2 linked regions of the Bombyx mori genome follow. The protein of the gene in region 2 interacts with the protein of the main gene of each other region in a pairwise test. Links are inferred from orthologs where the notes say so. Each region holds a gene or a part of one and is shown on either strand. Other genes may lie near its edges.

Region 1 (4,799 bases), on a different chromosome or scaffold from region 2:
GTCAGGAATCCCCGGCAGTGCAAATATCCATACCCCATTCTGATGAAATATAGCATAAGGAGATAAGTATGTGATAAGATAAATGATAAATCATTTAAGATAATACACATTTAATTTTGACTAATTTTCACTAAGATGACCTCGAAGACTCTCATAAACTCTCATTATTGTAATTGTATAAAAGCCTACAACAAAGAGACATGAGACAAATTCAGATGAATTTTATCTTTCAGTCTGTATATTTTTTTATTTATTCCTCTGCACTACAGATATTTTAGGGTTTATAAGGATCCATAATGTTTTAATCATTATCAATTACAAGCTAAACAAATTAAACTAATACATATTGTGATGATAAACAGTTTCCTTTGATACTTCAGTATTGTACGTGCTCATAGATAATAAGATAATTATATGCACTACTGCATATATAATTAGAGAACACAGTACAGCAGATAGTTTAATTTATTTATATTTGTGCATAGTATAATACAATTTAAATTCACAAATCACTTTAGATAATTCTATAATGTGAGTTGTGCATTTACTAATTATGTTTGTTTAACAGATGCTCTGTTAGTGTTTGGCTCGTTTTCCAACATGACCTTGGCTAATGTCATTACTTATTATTCATGTTAACAAGAACACAACAAAACCCTCTAGATATTCATAGAACTTAGAATGTTATGTAATTTCACTAAGAAAATGAAGATTTTTATTTTGAAACTTACCAATTTTATCTACTTTTGGTCTGACATTAACAACAGCACCACAAATCTCATCTGAATTCTCGAAATTTTCACCAATTAAAAGAAGAACCTGAAAATTAAATACAATATCTTCAATTTTAATGCATCTCACACACATCTCTGGTTCCTTGTTGTAGGTGCTTACTGGTCACATCCTTCCACACATCCACATTACTTCAAACAAAGATCAACAGAACATAGAGCCAAGCATACAGCTTGTAGGTAATGAGATAGGAGATGATCCTTCATCTCCTTCCTACAATACAGTTTCTATCTGTAACTGTATTCTAATATTCAACAGGATTTGAGTGGGCAGCCTTAACTATTTGAGGCATGATTTGTGGTTTCTTAGAAACCAATGATCTTAAATAAGCTACAACATCTTATTAAATGTTTATAAACATGGGATAGTGCAATCAAGCTAATATTCACTCACAAACATGTGCTCAGAAAAACTTGTCATATTTTTAGAAAATCTTTTCCTTTCATTATGTCAAACTTGATACTCAAAAAAGAAGTATTCTAAAACGGTATATAATAAAAAAGTTTAACATACCACATCTAACCAGAACCTATCTAAATCAGTAAAGCGTTGTTTTTTCTCAAGACTGATAAGCCATCTTCCTCCCATCTTGTTAGCATCGTCTTCCCACATAGGACGAATGCCTTGCTTGAATACTGCATAGTCATGACCTTGGCGAAGTTCTGACGGTAGCTTAATATGATGGTACAATCTGTAATGTGCAATAACAGTTTTGCTTAAATAAAAACCTACTAATTACTAAATTGACTACTCAGAGTAATTTTTGGCATTTTCTTATTATAATGGAATGAATCTATAGAATTAATGAATGAATACATGTTGACAAAAATAGAAACCATGTTTAGCACAGGGGGCTACGACAGACACATTGTATCTGCCATTTGACATCTATCAGTAAGCAATGAGTAGTCACTGGTTCCATAAGTCACTCATTATTTTTGATGTATTTCTTAAAAGTTTTTTGTGCAAAAACCCCTCAATGATTTTTTGAACATACTTGATGTATTGGTGCGCGAAAGGGAAATATGTCATGGACCTATGGCATCCATCACTCCATTCTACATGTTAGATACATTATTATTATAGAAAATATAACAAGTAAATAAAAGAACAGATGATTAAATCGACAACTAATCACATTAATTATAATAGATACGTAATAATTAGCTCTATAAGAAAGTGTTCTAGTTTAATCTTGAGCAAAATTAATTCTGTTTAAGTTCAGGTTCCATCAGAATTTACTTTCTCATCTAGGTTGCAAATGTATAGAAGTTGCATGAATGTACTTCTAAAATGTATGAAATTTATAATTTACTTCTGTAACCGGCATTTTCCTTTACCTCCAAAAGTCTTCAACTGTGTCGAATGTAGTCAACTCAATAAGATTCTCCTCCCATGTTTTGTTTCGGTCATTGTCGTAAAACCAGAGACTCCACTGGTTTTGTAACGGGTGCTTGATCAAAAATTCAGGGGGCACCTCCGCGTTACTGTTGGTCTTCGTTTCAGTGGTAGTAGACCCCTTAAAAACACAGGTCATTTTTATTAGTGAACCTAACCTAAAAAAAATATTGTTATTTTCGTAGAAGTCGTTTAACGACTTAATCCGGAATATTTTTACACAGAAAACCACTCGAGCGAGGTAAAGTTATAATTTATACTTGAAAACTAGACAATTATGCTAACAAATGTAACAGTGAAAGTTAACGAAGCCACATCAGCAAATTGCGGCAAAATTATAGGTTTTACGATTGTATAACCGGCAAAACGAGGTAGAAAATTACTTTGTTTTCTTAATAATTACATCTACCCACCTCTACTTCTTCTGTAGTATTTCCAGCCATATCTTGAGAGGATAACGATGCAAATTTCCTACGAAAAGGAGCGACAGAGTCAACGGGGTTGCCAAATCAGAAATCGCGTAAATTATTTATTATTTTATAAAGTGGATGTGCGCTAATCATGGTCTAGATTTATTTAAGGGTGTCATTTTTTTGTCTACCTATGTTGGTGATCTCATGGGATTATACCAGCTTCACGAAGCGAGTAGGCGAGTTCACGGGGCTAAGCCTGGTGAATTTGCTAACACTAGCCCTATTAAGAACAGTGCTTCGCAGTATCTACCACCAGATCGGAAACACGACCCACTGAGAAGATTCGGCGAGAAACTCAGTGGGCTGATTAACTCAGGGTTAATTTGCTCGCCGAACCCTTCGTCGCATTCGAGAGGAGTGACGAGAATGGTCACCAGTACTGGGGGGTGCCTAAAAGCACCGATAGTGGATCGCGAGGATCCGAAATGACGTGTTTTGGGCAAATGGAAAATATTAAATCACGGCATTTCCATCATCACCTTATAAACACAGGCCTTTTCCGAAGTTGGCTACAGTGACCAGTCGAGCAGATCTCGTGACCTTCACCAGGTCGGTCCTTCGAACCGTTGTGAAAGGCCTACCCACAATGCGCCTTACAGCGTGCGATTGCCATTCGAAAACTTTTGAGCAGAGTAGCCACCTGTCTTACCAGCAATATACCAAAGCATAGCTGTGAAAAGTTGTTTCGCTGCTGACCTCTATTTAGAACTAGCTAATAGAAATCATCGTATGATATCCTTATCTATGCACAACCTCTTTTTTTAAAGGGATTTTATGACCTGGTAACTAAGACCATTAAGTCTTATTTTAATTTATTTTCTTATGTTTATGAAAAATGATAATATGGAGTCAAATGAAATGAAATGAAAATGAAACGAAATGAGATGAAATATAACCTCAGTAAAATGGTGATCATTTACTGAGACTTTTTCAGTGGACTTTTTGGAGGATCCCGAGAAGCTACGTTCAGCGGCTTTGTTTCATTTTCCCACATTTGTGCACTTTCTCAGATACTAAACAGTTAATAAATCACCGTTATTACACATTTACACCTGAAGAAACACTAAATAGACAAAATAAAACAAATCACACAACTTCACTTCTCGAGTTCCCGCCAAAAAGGCATGCACAACCCTATGCGAGCACAGACCGGAAATAAATTCATAATAAAATTGTAATTTGTAATTCACAATTCACCAAAGTGTATAATCTATGCAATTCACATTATTGATCGGTTTCAAAACTCCGTGTGCGTCGTCTGGTTTGCCGGCTTAATCGACGGTTAATAATTAGATTATACAGTAACAAAACAAAATTTAATACATCACTGTAAAATGTCAGTTCACAATATCTTATTGGATTTCTCGATTGAAGCGGCCCGTCTGGAAGATGAAAACGGCCAAAAAGATATCTTTGGACAATTGGAAACTCTATTAAAAGAATATATACCAAATTTGATCCTAGCCACCGACATAAAATTGGAAGATGGTTCATTGAAATTATTAACCGGTAATAAAGGAACGACTGTATCCGTTAGGATGTTTGACCGAGGTTTCATTACTTTAAATATTGAATTTTACAAGGGCGGAAATGAGGAGTCCGTGATCGATCACAAGGTGAGGATTATATCGATTGAATGTATTGAGTGCTATTATTTTATTTTGGCACATTATATTATTATTGTAAAGTCTTTGCGAAACTCGGTAGAAAAAATAAGAAGTACTAAAAATAGTTTAACCATTTTATCATATGATCTTTTCTATGCATTGTTAAAAATACTAAGATTTTAATTTAAAAAAAATTAAGCATTAACTGAAGGACCAATTTTTTTATGGACTACCTTAATTGCATAAAAATTTGCAAGCCTTCAAAGTCGTTGTAATACTATCTTGCTTATTTTAATGTAGAGGACAGTTATTAATTTAATGGAAGTTATACCTCTACCGGGCAACTTATTTGCAATTAACTCATTCAAAGAATCCTGAAAACAATAAAAATATAATCTGCAATTTTGTTCACAGACTGCCAAAGAACTTGAAAGCAAAATTAAAAAATATATTTCTAGTATAAAGTCACAAACATATATTCCACTAAAGAGATGTTTGTTTGGTAGATATTATCCTAGTTCAGGTATGT
Region 2 (4,058 bases):
AAAAATGATAATATGAAGTGAAATAAAATGAAGTTAATTAATTAATATGAAACATGAAATGAAATGAAATGAAATGAGATGAGATGAGATGATATGGGATGAAATATACATCTCAGTAAAATGGTGGCCATTTACTGAAACTATTTCAGTGGACTTTTTGGAGGATCCCGAGAAGTTATGTCCATAGGCTTTGTTTTATTTTCCTACATTTGTGCACTTTCACAAATACTAAGCAGTTAGTAAACCACCGTTATTACGCATTTAAGCCCGAAGAAACACTAAATAGGCAAAATAAAGCAAATCCCGCAAGTTCACTCAAAGGCGGAAACAGTGCTTTTTGTGTTTGAGAGTAAAATGTTTGGGTGGGTTTACTACCGGTGGGTTTTACTAGTGGTAGGTAGTTCTTGTGAGTCTACACGGGTAGGTATCACTACCTTGCTTATTTCTGTCGTGAAAAAGCTATGCGTTTCGGTTTGAAAGGTGGAGCAGTCATACTGTAATAAATGAGACCTTAGGACTCATATCTTGAGGTAGGTGGTTATATGTACGTTGACTATGTCTATGGGCTCCGGTAATCACTTAACACAAGGTGGGCCGTGAGTTCGTCCTCCCACCAAAGTAAAAAAAATGTAATCATTCTAGAATGAAATGAAATGGAGTAAAATGAGGTATGATTGAAAAATAGCGTGGCTATTGTGTAAAATGAAAAATAACCTCTCAGTGAAATGGCAGGAATTTATTGAGAGTTCAATGGACTTTTTAAAGTGAAAGACTGTTTACACTTTTACAAATGTTGAATTGTAATATGTCATTATTAAACGCTTAAACACGACGAAGCACTAAATTATTAAACCTCGAGATTCTAGTCTTGAGTTTACCTTCCATGTCAAAAGGCATAACTTTTCGTGCCAGAAATAAGTTGGGTAGTACTTAGGACACCTGTGAGCTTATAATACGCCATACCACCAGTGAATTGAAAACTGTTTTATTTAGTCAATTTATAATTTTGCTGTTGTACTAGTGGAATAAAAACATAATAATGCCTGAGAAAGTGCATCAGCATTGAAATAGCTGGTTATGTTAAAAAAATTAATTAGATTTTTTACGAATTCCTATAATTTGATGATTATACTGAAGACATAATTTCTAATTTCATCGCACTTTTCCATTTAAAGCTTAGAAACACTCTAAAGAAAGTCTTGTGTAGGTAACGTTCTTTTTACTAGGTGGACACAATAGATAGACCAGAAAAATGTTTATGGTTTTAAATATTTTCAAGAAATCAAGGGAGCCAACATAGGCAACAAGCAACATACAGAAATAGAAAATAAAAGTGTATTATTGTCTTTGGTTGAGTAAACTCTTGTGATGTCGTCGTTGAGTATCGAGTGTCGTCACCTTTTTTAAATTTTTATCTAGGTAATTAACAACAATATTTTATAACAGTATTAATCTCAAAGTTGGAAGTGTTTTAGTTTATTAATTTTTAGGTCTTTTCCTCACAAACAAAGTAAAATTAAACGAAGCGATGGCGGCCATATTAAAAAAACATAACTGAGTTCAGTTTACAATCTTTTGTTATCTTTTCAATCTCTCCTTTTCATTTAACTTTTGGTAAACATTAATTTATTATAATACTTCTATATACTGAGCTCATTATTAGTTCTAATAACTTATCGAGTAATCACTTCATAACGGGATTTATTTACTTTGTCATATAGCTTGTTGACGCGTCTCGTAATCTTCGTTTTCAAAAGACCGAAACGGGTTTTCTAATATACTTATCTAATATAAAAATATGTTCCTCTTGTTTCAGCTATTCTGAAATACTTGGTGAACGTGATAAACTGACTAATATACGTGTCTAAAAGTGATTTAGAGAATTTATTTAGTGTTGGACTTGGACAAATAATAATTAGTGTGATTATAAGTTTCTAATTTTAGTCGTCCCTAGCTAGGGATAAATTTGGCAAAATGATGACCGAAAATAGAATTAGTTCAAGTAATCACGTCGGAAATAGTATCAGTCAAACTAAAGGGTAAGTATAAATTTAATAAAATGTCCTTTGTCATGCTAACTGCATGTAGAATCACACGAAGCAATATTCTAATCATGTAAACGCATTTTTCAGAGAGGTCGACAAAAGCATCGACGACGTTGGTTGGAAATCAAAATTAAAAATACCCCCAAAAGACAGAAGAATAAAGACTAGTGTAAGTTGGCTTAGTTACTAGAAATTACGGCCCACATACAATAGTCATTGGAATTTAGACAGTCAAAATATAACAATTTAAAAACAACTTTAGAACATTTTGTGGTATTCTACAATTGCATTATTGTTATACACGAATAATCCAGTTATACACTGAAAATTTAAATTTCCAACAAGCTTGCTTGTTTGCTTTTAAACAACAAACAAAAATAAAATTTATGGGGAAGTATAGTTCTTGAATTGTTTTATTCTGTTAAAGTAAAAGAAAAAGTATTTGGTTGATTTAATTATAAGTGATTTTTGTCTTTACAATCTCCAATCTAATACATTGTTGACAAACAGAATTCAATTCTGTTTAAATAGCTCCAATGCTACATTAATTACTACTTTAAACATTTTGTATTTATTTAGGATTTTTTTTATCATAACATGTCTATAATGCAGTTGTAATAAAATTAATCCTATTGTAAAAGAATTTTGTGTCTTTAAGCTACACTATTAATGAATTAGGTGAGTTCTATTGTCTGCCTTAATAGTAATTAATATCAAAGAGTACCTCAGTTCTTGATGCCCACATAGTAATGATGGTATTCCTTATTGATTTTTCAAAACACTTAGCAGCATATATAGTTAGCTTTATTTAATTATGCAATCTCATAAATCCAATGGTATATTCTGATTATTGGAAATATAAAATATTGATTTTTCATTTTTTAGATCATATTTGTGATTGATCATTCTTATAGATCATCATCATACATCATTTTAAGAATATATTTAGATTATAGTGGACATAATAATCAAATTTCGTTTCTAGGATGTCACAGATACTAGAGGCAATGAGTTTGAAGAGTTTTGTTTGAAGCGAGAATTGTTGATGGGTATTTTTGAAAAGGGATGGGAGAAGCCATCTCCTATTCAAGAGGCCTCAATTCCTATTGCCCTAAGTGGAAAAGATGTACTTGCAAGAGCTAAGAATGGAACTGGTAAAACTGGTGCTTATTGTATTCCAGTTTTGGAACAGGTAATTTGTTATATGTAACAATAGTTTTCATTTTTATGTTTTTAATGTATGATGAAATATTTGGATTCCCCTTCACTTTTTATAAGTGAGACAAAACAGAACTGATTAAAAAAAACTATGTTTTAAAACAAGACTGTGTAATTATTGAAATTACAAGAGTGAATTGTTTTAGGTTGATCCTAAAAAGGATACTATACAAGCTTTAATTGTTGTACCAACTAGAGAGTTGGCACTCCAAACATCACAGATTTGTATTGAACTGGCAAAACACACAGACATTCGTGTAATGGTTACTACAGGAGGCACAAACCTTCGAGATGATATAATGCGTATTTATCAAAATGGTAAATATAGATACACAAATTGAAATGGAAATAATTTCAAAATAGAAAATATTCATGGAATATACACTTTATTTCTAGTACAAGTGATTATTGCCACACCTGGGCGTATGATTGATCTCATGGATAAGCAGGTGGCCAAAATGGATCAATGCCGGATGTTAGTTCTTGATGAAGCAGACAAACTTCTTTCACAAGACTTTAAGGGCATGCTGGATATGGTTATTTCAAGGTTAGCGTTTGTTAGTTTCATGTGTAACAAATTCAGTGACCAAGAAATGCTAAATAGTGCTTCTCAAAATAAATGTCATGTGCCATCTCATAATTTCAAATACAGTGTGTGAATTAAAAACATTATTGATGGATTTTAGATTACCTAAGGAACGCCAAATCTTGCTGTTTTCTGCAACTTTCCCTCTGAGTGTAAAACAATTTATGGAAAAGCATTTGAAAGAACCTTATGAAATAAATCTCATGGAA

The links.
Region 1: the proteins of ATP-dependent RNA helicase me31b (region 2) and mRNA cap-binding protein eIF4E interact in binary tests that used the Drosophila melanogaster proteins (3 or more experiments, as listed by UniProt). The link is inferred for Bombyx mori from reciprocal best matches to the Drosophila melanogaster genes me31B and eIF4E1.

The regions. Positions count from the first base shown.
Region 1 is NC_085128.1:2,391,513-2,396,311, reverse strand, and holds the start of mRNA cap-binding protein eIF4E, read right to left. Parts: upstream 3,041-4,799; 5' UTR 2,634-3,040; coding exon 2,604-2,633; intron 2,312-2,603; coding exon 2,133-2,311; intron 1,484-2,132; coding exon 1,306-1,483; intron 820-1,305; coding exon 732-819; intron 1-731. Other genes in the region: spermine synthase, read left to right, coding at 3,998-4,279, 4,685-4,793. UniProt on the Drosophila melanogaster protein: Recognizes and binds the 7-methylguanosine (m7G)-containing mRNA cap during an early step in the initiation of protein synthesis and facilitates ribosome binding by inducing the unwinding of the mRNAs secondary structures.
Region 2 is NC_085118.1:10,825,331-10,829,388, forward strand, and holds the start of ATP-dependent RNA helicase me31b, read left to right. Parts: upstream 1-1,258; 5' UTR 1,259-1,419; exon of another isoform or gene 1,420-1,614; intron 1,615-1,816; 5' UTR 1,817-1,974; coding exon 1,975-2,039; intron 2,040-2,132; coding exon 2,133-2,214; intron 2,215-3,030; coding exon 3,031-3,237; intron 3,238-3,409; coding exon 3,410-3,581; intron 3,582-3,659; coding exon 3,660-3,810; intron 3,811-3,949; coding exon 3,950-4,058. UniProt on the Drosophila melanogaster protein: ATP-dependent RNA helicase which is a core component of a variety of ribonucleoprotein complexes (RNPs) that play critical roles in translational repression and mRNA decapping during embryogenesis, oogenesis, neurogenesis and neurotransmission.